Arabidopsis thaliana: one gene and its partners. The protein of the gene in region 1 interacts with the protein of each later gene in a pairwise test. Each region holds a gene or a part of one and is shown in the gene's direction. Other genes may lie near its edges. The genes, in order: FZL, TH7, AT1G63110 and UTR3.

Region 1 (7,343 bases):
ATTGAAACTTTAAAAAGTTTAAAAAATTATAAATTAAATTTTACAAGAAATTTAAACAATATAAAAGATATTAATACGGGACGATATATTGCGAGAGAAATCTTAGATATAACACTCAAAATTCAATGATGAAGTTTGGGTCAATATTAATCTTTTTTGAAGTTTCTAATTTTATAAATATTTGAAATTTATAATAAAATGACAAATTTGTGTTTAATTTCACGGGACGGGGTTATATGGTGTGACAGGTTTGAGTGGATAATAACATGGGATAGTATGCTATGGAGAAAAACATATAATGACAATCATAATGTAATTATATAATCTTAAACACTAAACAAAATTAACAATATTAAAAAAAAAAAACTTAAAACTTTAATTTTTTTAAAACACATTTTGATTCTTTTATAAGAAATTTAAATATTATAAATATTTAAACTTTATACTACGGGTGAAATTTTAGAATTGACTGTTTGGGTTGATAAGAATTTGCGATAGAACTAGGAGTTAAAATGACAATTAAAATATAATTATACAATTAAATACTACCACGAGCGAAATCCTAGAATTGACGAGTTTGAATCGATATTAATATGGGATGGTGTACTACGGGTGATATTTTAGAATTGACTGGTTTGGGTTGATAATAATTTGCGATAGAATTAGGAGTGAAATCCTAGAATGACAATTAAAATATAATTATACAATTAAATACTACCACGGGTGAAATCCTAGAATTGACGGGCTTGATTCGATATTAATATGGGATGGTGTACTACGGGTGATATTTTAGAATTGACTGGTTTGGGTTGATAATAATTTGCGATAGAATTAGGAGTGAAATCTTAGAATGACAATTAAAATATAATTATACAATTAAATACTACCACGGGTGAAATTTTAGAATTGACGGGTTTGATTCGATATTAATATGGGATGATGTACTACGGGTGAAATCCGAGAAACAACAATCAAAATACAATTATACAATATTAAACATTTAACAAAATAAACAAATACAACTTAAAACTTTAAAATTTGAGTTATAAAATTTCTTCTCGCGGTGAATTATACATTTAAATCAAACAATAGCATTAAATTTATTAAATCATTCTAAAAAATATTCAATTATTTTTTATTTAATAAAAATATAGAACCCTTAGTTGACATAGTTGATAAGTCAAGTGTTTTACTCTTCTAATCTTAAGCACTTACCTTAATGAGACACACATATTAGGATTGGTTGCACAAGGCCGATTCTTATACACTGTATACCCATTACAACGAAGCCCATTATCAACCCTATATAGCAATCTGCAAGACAAAGATCCAAACATATTGAATAACAAGTAACTTTTTTTTTTCTCGGTCCAACTTCATCTGGAATAACAAGCAACTTTTATCTGATGTATATACTTTCAGTGACCATCTACCTTAGTTGGTTTGAAAAGAAAATAGTTGTTTATTCGTTCATGTTCTTAGAAGTTCTAAATTTTGATCATCTCTTATTTGAAAGCTCAACTAAAATAGCTATGATATCATTCCCTGATGCTACGTACTAGGTTTTTAAATTCATACACACACAAATCTATAATTAAAACTTGTTAAATTCATACACACAAAGGACAAATCTTCTTCGTATTAAAAAAGATGGAGGCTCTGGAACATCTAGTGGTGCCGTATCACTTACTTGACTGGTTCAAGCCGTTTGTCTTTGTTTGGAAGAAGTAAATTTAATTGTGGGAGAGGGATTTCACGAATTTAAATCTGTTTTTCTCCCTTTTCGTGGTATACTTTGGACCTTTTGGATATGAACACATATGTGAAAACGTTAATTCATGTGTTTGAAAAGTAATTAATCGCGCCGTCCGTCTTATAGCTTTGGGATGGGCCAATAGGATATTTAAGAGATAAGAAAACTAATCAGAAACACAGACGAAGGTATCTCACTCTCTCTCTTTCTCTCTCCATGAGAACTCTAATCTCTCACCGGCAATGTGTGACGTCACCGTTTCTTATCTCCGCCGCATCTCCACCGTTTCCTGGCCGGTGCTTTAAGTTATCCTCCTTTACTCCTCCACGTCATAGGCGTTTTTCTTCTCTCTCGATCAGAAACATTTCGCATGAATCCGCCGATCAGACTTCTTCTTCTAGGCCGCGAACTCTTTATCCTGGTGGTTACAAGCGTCCCGAACTCGCCGTTCCCGGTTTACTTCTCCGGCTAGACGCCGACGAGGTTATGAGCGGGAATCGTGAAGAGACTCTTGATTTGGTCGACCGTGCTTTAGCTAAATCGGTTCAAATCGTCGTGATTGATGGCGGAGCCACCGCTGGTAAGCTCTACGAGGCGGCTTGTTTGCTGAAATCACTTGTCAAAGGCCGTGCTTACCTCTTGATCGCTGAACGTGTTGATATCGCCTCCGCCGTTGGTGCTAGTGGTGTTGCTCTCTCCGACGAAGGTAACAACTGATTTCATTCAGTTTTAGCATTTAATTTCTCATAGAGTGAGTTTTGTCTCTCAATGCTATGTACAGGTCTTCCGGCGATTGTGGCGAGAAACACATTGATGGGATCCAACCCCGACTCGGTACTTCTTCCACTGGTAGCTCGGATTGTGAAGGATGTTGATTCTGCTCTAATTGCCTCAAGCTCCGAGGGTGCTGATTTCCTTATACTTGGATCTGGTGAAGAAGATACGCAAGTGGCGGATTCTTTGTTGAAGAGCGTGAAAATACCGATATATGTGACTTGCAGAGGCAATGAAGAAGCTAAAGAAGAATTGCAGTTACTGAAATCAGGTGTTTCTGGTTTTGTTATTTCGTTGAAAGATTTGCGTTCTTCTAGGGATGTAGCTCTTCGCCAGAGTCTTGATGGAGCTTATGTTGTAAATAATCATGAGACACAAAATATGAATGAACTGCCGGAGAAAAAGAATTCTGCTGGCTTCATAAAATTAGAGGACAAACAGAAACTAATAGTAGAAATGGAGAAATCTGTGTTGAGAGAGACGATTGAAATCATCCACAAGGCGGCTCCACTGGTGATTTTTATTTCAAACATTTGGTAGTTGAAGTCAATTTTTTGAAATGGTTCTAAGTAGGTTTTTGTGTGGTTATAATATGGTTTCATTTACTTCTTCGACTATTTTTCATTAACAGATGGAGGAAGTCTCCCTTCTAATTGATGCTGTTTCTCGGATCGATGAGCCGTTTCTGATGGTTATAGTGGTAATTCTGCACTCAACTCCGTCAAATTGTGATTCCAGGAATTTGCATTGGTATTAGCTCTATATTCATTCCAGAAACATTTTAGTTACACACTTTTGCCAGCACTAGATAGCTTGAGATACAATGGGCATGCTTCTAGTCACTTGTCCTTTAGTGCTTCTCAATATCTTCTTTCGTCGCCTATGACTATGATGTTTCGCTTCTTCTTTTGTTCTGTCTATGCTTCTCTTCTTAATTTGCTTATGGATCTGGTTGTAAGGGAACTGCATATTTCTTAACTGTACCATCTGCTTGTGTACATAGTTTTTTCGCTTTCTTGTGACTTGTGAGTATGCCGTTCTTGGAAGATGTTTTAAGTGGGACAAGTTGCCTTTATGATTCAAAATAGTTTTTGTATGGATAATTAATTGGAATCCACAATTTGCTGGTACTAGGGGGAATTTAACTCTGGAAAATCAACGGTTATCAATGCACTTCTTGGGAAGAGATACCTGAAAGAAGGGGTAGTCCCCACTACCAATGAAATCACGTTTCTGTGCTACTCTGACTTGGAATCCGAAGAGCAACAACGTTGCCAAACACATCCAGATGGCCAATATGTATGCTATCTTCCTGCACCAATACTTAAGGATGTGAGTAATTCAAAATTCTACCATCGCAGTCCTGAATTTTTACTAATTATTTGGAGGAATTGATTTGGGTTGTTCTCCTTTCGAGCAGATAAATATTGTTGACACACCTGGGACCAATGTGATCCTTCAAAGGCAACAGCGTCTTACAGAAGAATTTGTTCCACGTGCAGATTTGCTTGTTTTTGTTCTTTCTGCTGACCGCCCTTTAACTGAAAGTGAGGTAGAAGTTACCGTTTTACTTGGCATGTTAGTTGTTGTTGTTTTTGCTCAATATGTATCTGCCTAAGTAGCTTGTTAGATCTATTTTTCACGAAAGTAGTTAGTTAAGTCATGTATAGACCATCAAGACCTTGTGTAGGGAAGGGAAAGTTGTCACTAGGTTGAATGCATATATCAAGGTTTTGTTGATTATAAATTTAAACTAGACTAATTTATTTTCAAAGTAATGAGTGTTATAGCTATTGCTGGAACCAGTATGTCCTGTTGGTCCATATTTTGGTAAAGCTTAGGCCAATACATTTGAGAGGTGAGTTGTTATTGGTACAGCAAAACTGATTTTACGTCCATGGCAAATTGTATGTAAATGATCATCTACGAAGTACTAACCTTATGAATATTTGGTTCTTATTTTGAAAATCTGAAAAAGTTTCAAAAGAAGGAATAAGCTTCTCAATGTCATCATACCCATGTCATTTCTATCTCTACCTCTGGAGCTTCCTGCTGTCTTGATTTTACTGTAGGCTGATTTACATCTCATTGCGTTTGTCAGGTTGCGTTTCTCCGGTACACACAGCAGTGGAAAAAGAAATTTGTGTTTATTCTGAATAAATCTGATATCTATCGTGATGCTCGTGAGGTTTATCAGAAACAATATTTATGTCTTTTCCTTGATAGTCTCTGTAATTGCTGGATTTTTCTTGACTAAAGATTAATTTTACTGCTGCAGCTTGAGGAAGCTATTTCATTTGTTAAAGAGAATACACGGAAGTTGCTTAATACAGAAAATGTGATATTGTATCCGGTGTCCGCACGGTCTGCTCTTGAGGCGAAGCTTTCAACAGCTTCTTTGGTTGGCAGAGATGATCTTGAGATCGCAGATCCTGGTTCTAATTGGAGAGTCCAGAGCTTCAATGAACTTGAGAAATTTCTTTATAGCTTCTTGGATAGCTCAACAGCTACCGGGATGGAGAGAATAAGGCTTAAATTGGAGACACCCATGGCGATTGCTGAGCGTCTCCTTTCTTCTGTGGAAGCTCTTGTGAGACAAGATTGCCTAGCTGCTAGGGAAGACTTGGCTTCAGCAGACAAGATTATCAGTCGAACTAAAGAATACGCGCTTAAGATGGAATATGAGAGCATTTCTTGGAGAAGGCAGGCTCTCTCGTTGGTATAAATTCTATTAGATATTATCTTGTTGAATCACGAAGGAGGAAATTGGATTGTTCTAACTTGGCTTTTTTGTGTTTTGTACTCTGGCTTTTATCGCAGATTGATAATGCCAGATTACAAGTTGTTGATCTGATAGGAACTACCCTGCGACTATCAAGCCTTGATCTTGCGATCTCGTACGTGTTCAAAGGGGAAAAATCGGCCTCAGTAGCAGCTACATCCAAAGTTCAAGGTGAAATACTCGCTCCAGCACTCACAAATGCGAAAGTAAGTGTGATGCTTTATTCTTTGAGTATTGGCCTAACTGGGGACATGTTGGTCATATATATGAGGTCTGAGATATAGTCACTATTCATGCAGAAAGTAAATATTGTCTAACAATGTCTTGTTGTGACCTGATTGACTTTACATTTCACTGTTTGCAGGAATTGCTTGGAAAATATGCTGAATGGCTACAATCAAATACTGCCCGTGAAGGGAGTCTGTCTCTGAAATCATTCGAAAACAAATGGCCAACATATGTCAATTCAAAAACGCAATTGGGCATAGACACATATGACTTACTTCAGAAAACTGATAAAGTCAGCTTGAAAACAATACAGAACTTGAGTGCCGGAACCACATCAAAACGATTGGAACAAGATATTCGAGAAGTGGTGAGCTTCAAGTATTAAATACTTTTAGTCTAAGTTCTAACTAGAATTCAGTCGATTAAAGTGTCTTGATCTTCATCATTGTTTAATTGTGTCATCTGTTCAATCCGAACCTATGATCTGACGGAGATGTTAATTCAGTACCGTATTTTCCCAGATACTTCGTCTCGCTATTCAAGAATCAATCTAAGTGACACTTTTGACATAGTTGAGTTTTGCTTGCCTTTTCTAGTTCTTTGTGACAGTTGGTGGGCTTGGAGCTGCAGGACTGTCTGCATCACTTCTAACCTCAGTGCTACCGACCACACTGGAAGATCTTCTTGCTCTTGGCCTTTGCTCCGCTGGAGGGTAATAACACTGCTCTAAATTTCCCCTCTTCCCAATGTCTCATTACTCCACCTTCTTAGATCACGCCTAGTGTATTTTTTTCTTGCAACTAGAGGCATATTTATGACTTTTAAGAAAGACTGGTTGTATGCATAACATAATCTATGTGACAGGTATGTGGCTATAGCAAACTTCCCATATCGAAGACAGGCTATAATTGGTAAGGTGAATAAAGTGGCTGATGCGTTGGCTCAACAGCTCGAAGACGCTATGCAAAAAGATCTTTCAGATGCGACGAGTAATCTAGTTAACTTTGTGAATATTGTTGCCAAGCCTTATCGAGAAGAAGCTCAGCTAAGACTTGATCGTCTTTTAGGAATCCAGAAAGAATTATCAGATATTAGAAGTAAATTACAGTTGCTACAAGTTGATATTGATAACCTTCATGTATCACGAGACGAGATGAGACTTTAGCTATTCCAACACAATGTCGGGTTTTCCCTTCTTGACATTGTTCAGTGGGGGGCAAGTGTATGTACTTTGTCATAATGAATAATACCTGCCAGTTCCGACTTGAAATGGACTCACTGATGGTTTTTTTGAATGCGAATTCAAAAGATTGGGGAGGTTCTTGAAAGAACCAAACAATAGCATTATGGGCGTGAAACTTTGGTATAACGTTTTTTAGCTTCTTTTTCAGATTGTTTGTGATACAAATCGCTGGATGAGTTGGAAGCTCAAGAGACTCATGGAGAAAATTTTCTTCTGATCTTTGACCTGCACATGTACCTCATATCACAGGTAAATATGTTAGTTGACTCATTTTTTCTGTCAATTGGATTTTATGGTCTCCTAGAGTTCATGAATTGCTTGATACATTCATATGAAATTGATTCTCCGCATAGAGCATCTAAACTTAGTTGTCAATGTACTAATCTTTTGACTTTAGTGGCTTAAATATGAGGGAAAAAAACAATCTTAGTATAAGTTTCCATGGAGAGTAATTCTCAGCATATGCTAGCTGTGATTTCTAAAGATAAAACGCTTGAATTTCTTTTTTAGTTAAGGATTGGTTCGAGAAGTTTTAAAAATCCAGAGGTGCTAGAATAAACCTT
Region 2 (3,256 bases), about 21 Mb from region 1:
ATCGTTTCTTCTGCTCTTGTATCTTTTTCACACTTTCTGTTTGCAAAAATATAACTAACTTTATTGAACTATTATACAGAACTATTTTATAAGTAACTGTAATATATTGCTTAGTAGCAGAAAAGTAAATACAGAGGTATTGAACTAATTGTGTTACTCTTCCTACATAAATTAAAAAGAGAGAAAATCAACAATATAAAATTGTATGGATACGATTTCATGGAATAAAATTCTTTAGATTGTGGAAAAACTTATATTAGAATCTTTATAGATCGAGCTAGGAATAAAGAAATATGTGGGTAGCAGAACTCATGCAACCTTTAAGAAAGTCATGTGTAATATTATCGATAAATTATGATTAAAAAATGAATAAATTCAAAGGCAAAATCTAAATTAAAAACGATTTTCTACACATGTTTAAATATCTAAACGTGATTAGTTTACTTTATGAATTACCAGTACAATAAATATTTGAGAATTCTTTTAAGTCTTAAACTACACAATTCCAAAATTCCAAATACAGTAAAAGTAAGGGAAAGAAAGTCTTAGGAAGGGTACTTACAAATTTAAGAAGTATTCCTTAATGTTTTCAGTTTTCTAAAAAACTTGTTGTATTTCTTTGATAACGCCTTCATATATATATATATATAATATATATATATGCATATTTTGATCCCAACATATATATATTTAATGTTTTATAAAGCATACTTTGATGCAACATTTCTACAAGTTTTTTTTAGTTCTTATAAAACAGTGGTGTTTCAATTTTATTAGAAATCAGACCAAAAAATGGTTTCAAATTAATATTTGCAAATCGAGATCTTAAACCCCAACAATATGTTCTAAAATTTAAGATATTCGAGCATCACCGAACTGTATTTTTGAATCAGCATTCCTAGTTCCTTGAGAATGAGAATTATAAGAGGATGATGTGAAAGTTTATGGGCAAAAAGTTAAAGATGATGTTCGTGGCTACGACGTGCATTTCTTGTCCCCCAGTATCGAATAAATTGTTAATTTCAAACTCATTTTCGACAATGATTCCTATAAGTACTGAAATGGAATAAGAAGGACCTTGAGGAAGAATTTGATGACAGCTTCTTTTTAACACAAATCAATATTCTTACACACGGACACACCAAACAACATTACAAATTTACAATGACATGCATGGTCATTTTGCAAATTTTTTTCTCGTTTTATTCTAATCTAATTTCGTTCTGTAAAGTTTTATGTAAATGTAAATTAAAGATTTCAGTAAAGACATAAGAGTATCACCATCAATTAGGAAAAAAATAAAAATGAGTTCTCATTAGAAACTCTCCTGCCATGTGACATTTTTATTTTTATAGTAATTAATAGCATTAATATTATATAGGTATTAGATCCTTGAAGTGGATGGTGCATATATTATTTAAACAAAACAAATTTTAACTACTTTTAATTTATAGCGTTGACAATAACTAATTAATCTAAACTAATAAATCAAGTACCTAGGCTACCATTTTTTAATTAGAAAATCGATCCGCCGCGGATTGTTATCCACCCACAAAAATAAAAAATTCGTTTGCAAATGTGATAGGCAAGCTAGTTCCTTGCAACCAGCTATATTTTTATGTAGTGGAGAATATTTAACAACTAACTGGAATTTTAAAAACACAAAGCGAAACTAAATTGGTATAAGCTATATATTCTTGAAAAAATAAAAAAATCAACGGCTAGAACTAAAGAAGGATAGCAAATTGAATCATATTCCTTTGCATTTACTTATTTATTTATAACCAACAAATTAAGTTCTCCGATTAAAAGCTATATAATGCTCCTCCTTGTCTCTCTTCTTTGCATATCAGTATATCACTAGCAAATAAGTGAACACCATTTCTTCATACATACACATTCCGAAGATAATGGGTTCCAATGTTTCATCTGTGCATGATGTTCATTCATCAATGGAAATTACCAGTAATGGATTTGTTGTGGAAATCGAATCAAGAAGACAATGGAAATCTCTCTTTGATTCCATGAAAGGCTCAAACAAATTGGTATACATTACTCGAAAACTACCTAAAACGTATTAAATTTTTTTAACCAAACTTATAATGTTTGTTTTAAATCTTATACTATTTGTGTTTTCTAATTTTGTTTACAAGTAAATGACATGTTTTTTCTCTTAAACTAACTGAAAAAATTATTGTGGTTTTGAAGCTAGTAATTGATTTCACAGCTGTATGGTGTGGACCTTGTAAAGCAATGGAACCTAGAGTTAGGGAGATTGCTTCAAAGTACTCAGAAGCTGTGTTTGCTAGGGTTGATGTGGATAGGCTAATGGTAATTACTCTTTTTTTTTATTACTTGAAGAAGAATCATCTTATGGTTTCAAGACTAAGCTATAATTGGTATGTATTCCAGGATGTGGCTGGGACATATAGAGCTATTACACTTCCAGCTTTTGTTTTTGTGAAGAGAGGAGAAGAGATTGATAGGGTTGTTGGAGCCAAACCTGATGAGCTCGTGAAGAAGATTGAACAACATAGGGTTTAAGTTTTTTCTTTTCCCTTACAAAAAAATGATTATTATACTTTTGAATGTCTGTTCTGAATTGATTGTTTGAAGTTGGGTTTCTGGTTTGTTGTTTAATTTCTCAAAACAATATAAATAATAATGTCAAAAATGAAAACAATTAACAAAAATGTTGTAGTTATATTTGTATGAAATCTAATCACCCCAACGTAAGCAAAACAACATAACAATGGTAATGTGAGTATGGCGACTAAAAGAACTATACCATAAAAAAAAAAAAAAAAGAGTCCCATTCCAAGTATATGTTAAAATACTAAATGGAAAAAAACAAACGTTACATAACATTTTCGAAGAGCTTGTATGAAGTTGAGAGTTACATATATAACTTATGAAAGCAGAATAAATTAGATAACAACAAAGATAGCTTTTACAACAAAAAACAATCAATTCTGCTTACTATTTCGTGATCAAGATATGAGATCAAAAACGAAAACCGATCAATTCTGTATATGTATGTACACTGAATTGACCTTTTGAATTCAAGAGCTTTCTTGAAACTAGTTGCCAATTCAGCTACCACCAAGAACTCTCTTGAGATCTGTCTTCTGTTCCGATGTTAGCCTCGAGGGGAAACATATCTCAAAGTTGATTCTTAGATCTCCTCTCTTTGAACCTTCTTTAGAGATGGGCATTCCTTCACTAGGAATCACTATCTCCTGACCCGGTTTAACGA
Region 3 (5,879 bases), about 23 Mb from region 1:
CTTGTGTAAAATTGCATTCACAAGAAATTAGAGTTTCTGGCCTTCCTAGAGTTTCTTGAATTGCGTTAACAAAAAATTAGAGGTTCCGGCATTGCTTCCACACTAGGTTAAGGTTCAACAAAATTCGCAACCAAAGAATAGCTATGAAACAAATAAGCAAGATTTCACAAACATAAAGAGCTTACAAAATTTCAAAACTAATGGGCTTTACTAGCAAATATAATGGGCTTTTTAATAAACCTTTTTTTAATAAGCCTATTAATAAAGATGGGCAAAATGTGTTTCTTTTTGTATCAAAATGTTGTCTAATTTTACTGATAAATAAGAATAAGAAATAGGGTAAATATTTGGAAACTATTTAGAAATACATTTTAATCTAATGGTAATGATTAATTCAAGATGTATATAATTTCTAGTATCTTTTCCCTAATAATTGATATTTTTCATTCATTAACACTAGGACCTTTTAGGTTTAACATCTTAAAACTCTATCTTAAGATGTTTAGATAAGTATTTGGGTTGTAATGATTTTCTAGGAAACACTAAAATAGTATGAACATAATCTAGTTAATCACTAGACTAAAAATCAAATCTGAATCTATGTACAAAATCTAAACTATACACATAAAAGTAGATATTAACATATATATTAATGAATAATATATAATTATATATAGATACACTTAGCACAAATATACACATATATTTATTTTGGATTGTTATCATGTGCTCTGTAAGAAATCATGCTACAATATACAGATGATATAACAGGATAAGAGCTATATTAATAGAGAACTTTGCATAAAAGTCGTTATCCAAAAAAAGAAAATAAACTTTGCATGAAAGCTAAACCAAATGCAAATAAGAAAATAATTGTATCTTAAAAGGATTGTTCTTAAACGATATAAAGGTACATAATTCCCTCCCACGTTAACCATTCATTGTGCATTGTGGAATTCCATTTGTATAATTAGTTTTGAATTAGATCATTCATTTCCTTTGAGTTTGATGAATAAAAAGTAAGAAAAAAACACTAAGCTTGGGAGGGTGGCTTAATTAAGCGTGTACACATAAACTATACTTTGTTAAAAAAAAATTGGGAGGTTGATTATGACTTATGAGCGAATAAAGCACTTTTGCGATAGTTATTGAACTTGCTAATCAAGTTGTTAAACGTGTGTATATATATAGGATGTGCATCATCACAATTCTCTCTAGCTAGCTCTTATTCGTATTATATAAAAAACTCAATAACTCTTTTTTGTTTTTGGTTCTTAAGATGCAATCTATTTATACAGAGATAAACACCAAAGCCAAGAAAGCAAGGACGAATGTAGACTATTTCTATACAGCTTACATGAAAGCCACTAACACAGATTTGGGAGACGAAGCGTTTAAAGCCGTGACAAACCCGATCCTTTCACAAATGGAGGAAATCATCAACACAGCTAAACATGTTGCATATCGCGTGGGAGTTATACGAAGTACAAATTCAGATCCTAATTTTCTTCGAGATCTTGACGAGGTAGACAAGATGGGGGATGATGTCTTTGAGAAATCAAAAACTGCCCTAGACATAATGCGAAAAGCGGTTGTTGATGCAAAGGAAAGGAAGAAAGCTAGAGATGAAGCAATAAAGGAAGAAGAAGAAGCAAGGAAAGAGGAAGTAAAGAAGAAAGCAAAGAACGAAGCAGGAGAGAGCAGTTCACACAACGTACCAACGTAATTAAGTAAACATAAAAAGTTAATAAGCACATAAGTATTTAACGAAGCATAATATATGTATTTAGTGTTCTCTTCAAAATTACAACAAGATAAAAAAGTAAATATATGATTATTCTTCATATGATATTTTACATTGGAAAAATGTTTATCACACAAACACGAAACCGAAATGCATCAAACAAAAACCGAACCGAACCGATATAGAGTTACATTAATCAAACCGAATTATAAATGGATCATAAACCGAAAAAATCAAACCGGAACCAAACCTTAACAAGATCATATCAAATACGTCGTCGTTTCATCTGAGTCGTCTCTCTTCACTCGCCGGAGAGAGAGAAGAAGAAAAGACGACGGAGAAATGGCGGAGGAGCAGAAAATGAAGCAGCTAAGCCGATTCTGGATTTGGGCTTTATCTTCCATTGCTTTCCGATTGATCTTGATCTCCTTCCCGGGAAATCTCAATCTCTCTTCCCGTCCGGAGGTCTCTACCCCTCTCACCAGCATTCGCCGCCGTATCTCCTCTCTCTTTCTCACTCCCTCATTAGCTCTCTAAGATCTCGAATTCAGCTCACATTTCTTCGTTTTGTATGAACATTTTCAGTTGCTGAAGGTTATTGGTTGAAGCAGGCATCGATGTCACCATATGCAGGTCTATCTTAAGATTTGATCCTCTGTAAATTTGGATTCTTAGGCTATTAGAAGCTGAAGTTGTACATATTTGAGCAGGATCTATGTATCATGGCTCACCATTGCTGCTCTCGGTTCTTGGACCTCTCACAGTTCAAAGGTAGTGACTAATCGATTTTGATATTAGGATTTGTGATTTATTGAGCTTGAATCATATGAAAACATGATTTTTTCCCACTTGAGTTTTATTGGAAGACAATTTGTGTGTTTGCAGGATTAAAGGGCAACCAAGTCACCTCTTGTGCAGGTACTTTTCAGTGTCCCTTCATTTCTGTGATCACATGTTTTTTCTTTCTTCTCAGATTTGAGCTAGCTTAAAATCTTAGGTAGGATTAGATTGTGAGATGTGAATTTGGAAAAGAGATGATCTTTGAATGATTTACTATTCATCAAGAGCTTTATAGTCATGTCGTTGCTACCAACATTCTCTTGGATACAGCTTGGTTTTTGTTATTGCAGATATATTAAGTGCAATGCTTCTTCGAGCTATTGGTCAGAAACTCCAGATGGCTTATGGACTGAATGCGAGACTACTTGGTTTTCTTAAGTCATCAAGGGATAAAGGTAGATTGAAGTCAGTTGTTGAATTTTGTGTATCATCTATCTTATTTCTACTCTTTTCTTGTAACTATTTACTTGAAGGCAAATATTGATCTCTCCTTTTTCGTTGTCTCCTCAGTGATCCTACCTTGTGGTGATATTGCTGCTCTTGTGTATTTGTGGAATCCTTTCACGATAGTTTCTTGTGTGGGCTTATCAACTTCTCCCATCGAAAACCTGGCTGTCATATTGGCGCTTTTTGGAGCAGTTACACGTAAGAAGATGATGATACTTGCATATTGTTTGTTCAATAGTTTCTTGAAATTTTATAACTGATGTTTTCTACCCATGCAGGACGAGTTCCTCTGGCAGCATTTGGCTTAGTCATTGCCACACATTTATCTCTTTATCCTGCTACTCTGACAATTCCAGTATGTATCATTTCTTATTTTATGTTTTTCACGTTTCTCAAATTAAACAAATTCTAACTGCTCGTGCATTTCCCACAGATAATCTTTCTATTGGGATATGGTTTGGATGCTCCTCCTATAAAATTGTTCCTTCAGACCAGAAGTGTAGAAAATGAGGAGAGTTCAACCTCTACTGTTTCTAAACAAGCCAAGTTGAAACAGACTACGCACCTTCCTTTCTTATGGAAAACAGTCGCACACTTCTTGTTCTGGGTACTTCTGTGGTCACTCTATGTGTTGATTTTATGTGCCTTATCACTGAATAAATATGGTGGGCTTGAGGAGATGTTCAAGAGGTAGCCTCTAACTTAGAAATCTTATTCATAACCGCTATAGGATTAGTTTCCGTTAGCCATATTATATCTATAACTTATATTCCAAATCATATAATTATTTATTAAGAACTTGCAACGTAGTGTTTAGGCGATTTGATGTTTGTTTGTCTTTGCCTCCTATTGTAGGACGTATGGTTTCATTCTTAGTATTGAAGATCTTTCACCAAACATTGGAGTCTTTTGGTAAGTAAAATAAATTAATATGGTGATATCATTGGGTGATGAATAAGGGATCCCTTCTTTTATGAAAAGACTATTTACTGTTCGTTTTAAATCTCGTTTTCAGGTACTTCTTTGCAGAAGTATTCGACTTCTTCAGAAACTTTTTTCTGATAGTTTTACACGTAAATATTCTGTTCATGTTACTGCCCTTAGCCATAAGGTTGAAACATCGGCCATGTTTCCTGGCTTTCATATACTTAGCGATCTCCTCGATTCTTAAATCTTATCCTTCAGTAAGTAGTTGAATTCACTGTGAACTTGAAGTTATCTTTTCTTCTTTGAGGAATTATATTCATAAATGTTAACAATGCTTTCATCATTTGATTTACTCTCAATAGGTCGGAGATTCGGCGTTATACTTGAGCTTATGGGCATTGTTTGTCAATGAGTTATTAGGTAAAAGCAAATACTTCACATCCTCTTAGCATTGTTTAGCCTTTGCATATAAACTCTGCTTCTGTTTCACATAGATATGAAGTTCTCGTTCTTCCTCTTCTGTGGATATCTCGGGATCTCTCTCCTCAGCCCTGTGATGCACAATCTCTGGATATGGCGGGTAAGCTTCTACTCAAATCCATAACCCAACTCTTCACAGCAGTTGCAACAAAATGTTCTAATGATCACAACTACCTTTGATTTTTTCATGACAGGGAACCGGAAATGCAAATTTCTACTTTGGAAACGCTATCGGCTACGCGTGCTTTCAGGTAAAATATAGGCCTGGATCCATTTCAAAATTCATTATTCTATTCAGTAGTTGGGAGTTGATACTCATATAGTACAAAATTTGATGATATCAAGCAGAGGATGATGAGATCATCAGTTATTGATCAAAGAATGTTGTAGTTTTGGGTTATCTTGACTAAAACCCGCATACGGGTTTCTGCTTTTCTTTACAGATCGTTTTCGTGGTTGAGAGCGTAAGCGCAATGCTAAACCATGACAGGGCGCTGAAGAGATCAAACTCAAACCATCGAGAAGTCAAGAGCTAAGCCATTGAAGGTCATTGCGCCACTTTTCTGTTACACGTAAAGAAAAGAGTTGGGTCTTTAGCTTAAAGTTGGCAACATGTGATTTGTGTGAGTAGCTTTTCTTTGTTTGAGAACATCATATAAATAACAAATCTCCTGTGCCTTTCCGTTTAGAGTAACCATTAATTTGTACTTTTTACCGAGAGGTTTTAAAGTTCTTGTTTTGATCCGCAAAGCACACAATCATCCCTATATTTGAAGTTACATCGCATGTATACAAGGTATTATCATTTGTGAATGGTGGATGATTAAAGGCATTGTCTATGTCCCGTACTTTATCCTTATCCACTGCACCATTAAGGCCTAAATGACACAGTGCAGGAAGGTTATTGGGTGGTGTTTGGTCATTGTTTTCTTAAAAGTCACCCATTCACAATAAATGAAGTGTGATGCATTATTAATTTATTTGTAATATCATAAAAACTTGTAAAACCCACGTGGTACCAAAAACAAAAATCAGACCCTAACCGTATAACTGTATTTCACACTGTTGAAAATATATGTTCAATTCGATCTTGTGACATCTGAAATCTCCTAAAAATTATGCATATATTGCATGAAGCTGATGTATGCATGATTGCATATCTTGGTATTATATATTGTATTGATGGCGTGTGGTGATGGAATTTCATGGCGTTTGGTGATGGAATGCGGTTGTGTATCGGAGCTGACTTCAGCAAAGTTCAAACTTCAAACTGCAGTTTTCCTTCATAGCTCAGTCACAAAATACAGTTTGAAACTACTCCTTTTTCATCTGTTAAGTTAAGACAACTAATGGTTCTTGATTTTGTAATTTTGTTTCTTGGATTTCATCAGATGGGAAGAAACTAGTGGAGGAAATATACTTCGAACTCCTGGATTGCAAT
Region 4 (4,391 bases), 4.2 Mb from region 1:
TGATATTAAATTCATACATGAAACAGCTTATGAATACTTTTTGTTAGTCTGAAATTTAGAATTTAAAAAGAATTAAAAGGAAGTTGTGGTTTTTGTTTGGTGTTTTTTTTAACTAATTATGGTCATGGTTGACGTCTGCTAAGGGACAACAAAGTGGTGGGTCTGGATCGCCCATATCGTTGAAATTTTGATCGATATTTTACAATAATACTTACTATCGTTCAGTCACAATTATTAGCGAGATTCCCCTTCAATCAAGATGTTAAGTGTTTACAACTTTTCTTTGGATGTTATATTTATGTTTAAGAAACTTTTACATACACTTCCAAATTATGAGAGATATCAAAACCTTAGAATAAAATTTGGTATTATGGACGATTTTATCTTTCTGAGACGTATTGGATTTACTATTAGATTATTGTGCATATGGCATGCATGCATTAGATATATATAGTCTTTCTTCGATAAATAAAAGTTTAGTCAATGGATGAATCAATCTTTATGTGTAGATCTTTTGTTGATCAACAGGTGATCAAGATTTAAAGGACCCGAAATTAGTTACGAAGTATTGTGGATTTTTCGCATTCTAGTTGACCAAATGAATAATTAAAGTATGAGATTCAACTCTTAAATAATATTTTTGTAAAATTAAGTTTTGAGTTAAGAGACAACGTTAAACCGTCATAATTTATGTGTGTTATATATATAATCGTCAAACCATGGTAAATAACTAAACGCATAGTAGACAAAAAATTTGTAATCATAGATGTAGACGACGGTAATCATCATTTAGATTTGAATTTTTAATGGAACGTGGTGGCTAACGTCGAATACATTTTTGGTGTATTTCTTAAATATAATATCCCATGCATTGACCCAAGAAACTACTTATTAATCAGTTAATCTATATTCACATTGTTATTGACCGGCAGATCGAAAGAGAGTTCTTTTTTCTTTTGCATATTGCATATCACGTGTGGACAAAAGCCCCATTTGGAATCTTTTATGATATTATATTGTTATGTTACACATTAATTTGTTATCTCACCAAGACTTCTATTTTCATTTTGTATCCGGTAAGAGTCACTCTTTTGAGTTTTGACTTTTGACTCTTCAAAATGTATAATTGGTTCTCCCATGAGGATTAAGTATGTCATATAAATTCCGTTTCCCAATATATATAACTTCTATTTTCATTGAGATATAGTATAATATTATTCGTATAGAAAATTACTCAAATCATAATGAACTATGCATGAGTGCATGCATGTGATACCTTGTTTTAATATAATGGAAATTCGATATTTCAAACTTTTCTCGCTATGTTGACGTTATTGTCACATTTACTTTAAGATATATCATATTTTGTTTTAGTAATCTTAACAATGGGTCATCACTAAATTTTAATCAATTAAATCATGTTGGCAACTTTCCTCCATTTGTGTATATACGCCTTTTTCTTTCATTTTCTTACCACAAGTGATCTTAGATTTGTATGAATTCATCAGTTAGTCAAACTGACATGATTAGCTGTGTGCAAGTTTGCTTAATCAAATTAAGGCCCAAGCTGTAAAAAGAACATCCGTTTACAAGTTCTAGGAAACTGCGTGACGTTTTCATGACAATAAAACGGCACATAGTTCCCATTCCTATCTCAGACATGAATGTGCATATGACTTGGATTCCAGAAATAAATCCACGTCCTATAGCCAATCAGAAGTGTCATGTCAGATTATTAAGCCAATGACACAGTTACACGTGGAAAATCTACGTCTTTCTCGCGCCTCCTACACTCTCTCTAATAACTTTCGTTTCCACTTCAGACCGATCTCATAATTTGATCGCAAAACTGATCAAATAGCGTAAAATTGAAATTCAAATTTTCGCCGGAGCTCCGTCGGATAAAACAATAAGCGACGTGCGGCGATGGAATCTCACGGTTCCGGTCTCCGGCGAGTTCTGTTATTGTCGTTCTGTGTCGCTGGGATCTGGGCAGCTTACATATACCAAGGCATTCTTCAAGAGACCTTGTAAGTAAAACTCGTTAGGGTCGAAATCGATCAATCTTATTTTAGCTCGTTGATTATTTTCTCTCGACATTGCTCGATTCTGTTTGTTCGAGATTGTTTCTATTCTCGGAATCCTGGTTGGTGATGCGTTTGCAATTATTGGAAATTTATAGAAATGTAGCTGATAGAACTCTAACATTTTCGAATTAGGTCGACGAAGAAATTTGGTGAAGATGGGAAGAGATTCGAGCATCTTGCATTTCTGAATTTGGCTCAGAATGTAATCTGCTTGGTTTGGTCTTATATAAGTGAGTAGGGCATCTTCATTGTTTATTCCTTAGAATTATAAGTTTATAACAGACGAATAAATGGAACTGAAGTATTTTTGATTGATTATGAGCAGTGATTAAGCTCTGGTCCAACGGAGGTTCTGGTGGAGCCCCATGGTGGACGTATTGGAGTGCTGGCATTACTAATACCATTGGTCCTGCTATGGGCATTGAAGCTTTAAAGTATATTAGTTACCCAGCTCAGGTAAATTAGGCATTGTTAGTGTAATAAAAACCTCATTTTTCTTGATTATGGTTGATAGTTGAGGTAATAACCTTTCTTGGGAAGTAATATTGATGCAAAACTTGCTTCTTGCAGGTCCTTGCAAAATCTTCCAAAATGATTCCAGGTGAGGTGTCAATTTAGAGCATCAATCCATAATCGCTCTCAACTGCTGCTATGTGTATCTTATATATGTTTTTTCTTTCATGTAGTTATGCTGATGGGCTCCTTAGTTTATGGCATAAGATACACTTTGCCTGAGTATCTTTGCACCTTTCTTGTTGCCGGAGGAGTATCTATGTTTGCCCTTCTTAAGGTAGGCAAATCTGCATTCAGGAACTTTGATCATAATCTTTGTTATACTTTGTCTGTGGAAATGTAGTAAACCGTCTTTGACTTGGTTTACAGACAAGCTCTAAAACCATCAGCAAGCTAGCACATCCCAATGCACCCCTTGGTTACGGGCTTTGCTTCTTAAACCTTGCCTTTGATGGATTCACAAACGCAACCCAGGATTCCATTACCGCAAGGTATGACTCTTGACATTCTGTCAGATACTTAACCCAGTCTGACATCTACAACATGGTCTAGATGTTGGACATTAATCATCGCCATACATGGATACAGGTACCCCAAAACTAACGCATGGGACATAATGCTGGGAATGAATTTATGGGGAACCATATACAACATGGTCTACATGTTTGGATTGCCACATGGGAGCGGATTTGAAGCTGTGCAGTTCTGCAAGCAACACCCTGAGGCAGCATGGGACATTCTTATGTACTGTTTATGCGGTGCAGTAGGCCAAAACTTCATCTTCTTGACAATAAGCAGATTCGGGTCTCTAGCTAACACGACCATAACCACAACCAGGAAGTTTGTAAGCATCGTGGTATCTTCAGTTTTGAGCGGGAATCCGTTATCTTCCAAACAATGGGGATGTGTGTCGATGGTGTTCGGTGGATTGTCTTACCAAATTTACCTGAAATGGAGGAAGCTGCAGAGAATGCAGAAGAAGAAAAAGGCCTGAAGCTGAGATTGGGGATCAAAATATTTAATTCTTCAAGAAAATTGTTTTTGATTTGGAAACTTTTTACTTCCAAATATGTCTGAAAGTTAGAGAGAAGAAAGCTTAGTCCATTAGCAAAATGTAAACTAATGCATTAGAAGAAACTTATATATATCAAACCAAAAGACAAATCATATATTTCCACTCATATATATTTGTCTTAACAATACAACAAACTCTTCCTTCTGAGTTTTTCATTTTTCCTAAAGTTACACTCTGGAAAACTTCTTTATATATATGTGATAGAGATTCTGTACAGAGATGATGAAAACAAATCAAGAAATCTGGGGAAAATGCTCAGATGATGTATCTGAGTAAAGCCCTTAGAGACAAACCAAAGAATTTTTTCTTAAAGACACACTGGTGCCTTCTTTTGTAGATGGCTTCCTTATGTTAAGTAAGAAAAGAAAGAGAAATCTGAATCTGAGTATATGGCAGATTCTTGAGAACATTCTTTGATGGGGCTAGAAAATGTTACCGTTAACATTCTAGGACCAGGAAAGAAACTTAAAAACCTTGAGGGAGGAATGCAGATCATGGCATGCCCGCTTCACAAAAACTTCCAGGCCGATATGGCTGCAAAACCTAATATGAAATCTAAGCAAAAGTGGAAAAAATTACGTCTCCATGGAGACTAAACCGCGGTTTAGGGTATGAGAGAGATGGTTGGTTGGTTTACAAGCTATGGAGAAGGACTCTTTTGCAAGGGGGTGGTTTTGAAGGATTAGCACTTGGACATGGAGATGAGGACTCGATCC

What was found.
Region 2: the proteins of FZL (region 1) and TH7 interact in a protein complementation assay, tested with the Arabidopsis thaliana proteins (one large-scale study listed by BioGRID).
Region 3: the proteins of FZL (region 1) and AT1G63110 interact in a protein complementation assay, tested with the Arabidopsis thaliana proteins (one large-scale study listed by BioGRID).
Region 4: the proteins of FZL (region 1) and UTR3 interact in a protein complementation assay, tested with the Arabidopsis thaliana proteins (one large-scale study listed by BioGRID).

The regions. Positions count from the first base shown.
Region 1 is NC_003070.9:759,352-766,694, forward strand, and holds FZL (FZO-like protein), read left to right. Parts: upstream 1-1,909; 5' UTR 1,910-1,969; coding exon 1,970-2,459; intron 2,460-2,534; coding exon 2,535-3,040; intron 3,041-3,158; coding exon 3,159-3,227; intron 3,228-3,661; coding exon 3,662-3,859; intron 3,860-3,947; coding exon 3,948-4,079; intron 4,080-4,628; coding exon 4,629-4,715; intron 4,716-4,805; coding exon 4,806-5,246; intron 5,247-5,347; coding exon 5,348-5,515; coding exon of another isoform or gene 5,516-5,580; intron 5,581-5,673; coding exon 5,674-5,904; intron 5,905-6,133; coding exon 6,134-6,249; intron 6,250-6,401; coding exon 6,402-6,702; 3' UTR 6,703-6,843; downstream 6,844-7,343. Other genes in the region: AT1G03165 (uncharacterized protein), read left to right, coding at 7,012-7,029. UniProt on the Arabidopsis thaliana protein: Probable membrane-remodeling GTPase that plays a unique role in the in the determination of thylakoid and chloroplast morphology and regulates organization of the thylakoid network.
Region 2 is NC_003070.9:21,952,047-21,955,302, reverse strand, and holds TH7 (thioredoxin H-type 7), read left to right. Parts: upstream 1-1,822; 5' UTR 1,823-1,910; coding exon 1,911-2,045; intron 2,046-2,208; coding exon 2,209-2,331; intron 2,332-2,412; coding exon 2,413-2,544; 3' UTR 2,545-2,706; downstream 2,707-3,256. Other genes in the region: AT1G59725 (DNAJ heat shock family protein), read right to left, coding at 3,093-3,256. UniProt on the Arabidopsis thaliana protein: Probable thiol-disulfide oxidoreductase that may be involved in the redox regulation of a number of cytosolic enzymes.
Region 3 is NC_003070.9:23,402,784-23,408,662, forward strand, and holds AT1G63110 (GPI transamidase subunit PIG-U), read left to right. Parts: upstream 1-1,904; 5' UTR 1,905-2,086; coding exon 2,087-2,240; exon of another isoform or gene 2,241-2,329; coding exon 2,330-2,377; intron 2,378-2,454; coding exon 2,455-2,515; intron 2,516-2,629; coding exon 2,630-2,662; intron 2,663-2,854; coding exon 2,855-2,979; intron 2,980-3,094; coding exon 3,095-3,229; intron 3,230-3,309; coding exon 3,310-3,386; intron 3,387-3,464; coding exon 3,465-3,721; intron 3,722-3,886; coding exon 3,887-3,943; intron 3,944-4,046; coding exon 4,047-4,215; intron 4,216-4,320; coding exon 4,321-4,378; intron 4,379-4,452; coding exon 4,453-4,538; intron 4,539-4,632; coding exon 4,633-4,689; intron 4,690-4,881; coding exon 4,882-4,974; 3' UTR 4,975-5,336; downstream 5,337-5,879. Other genes in the region: AT1G63105 (uncharacterized protein), read left to right, coding at 1,358-1,726.
Region 4 is NC_003070.9:4,910,565-4,914,955, reverse strand, and holds UTR3 (UDP-galactose transporter 3), read left to right. Parts: upstream 1-1,788; 5' UTR 1,789-1,926; coding exon 1,927-2,030; intron 2,031-2,219; coding exon 2,220-2,317; intron 2,318-2,412; coding exon 2,413-2,543; intron 2,544-2,657; coding exon 2,658-2,688; intron 2,689-2,773; coding exon 2,774-2,877; intron 2,878-2,969; coding exon 2,970-3,091; intron 3,092-3,188; coding exon 3,189-3,594; 3' UTR 3,595-3,863; downstream 3,864-4,391. Other genes in the region: FLP (Duplicated homeodomain-like superfamily protein), read right to left, coding at 4,309-4,391. UniProt on the Arabidopsis thaliana protein: Essential sugar transporter required for the transport of UDP-glucose from the cytoplasm into the Golgi and the endoplasmic reticulum. Essential for pollen development and involved in embryo sac progress.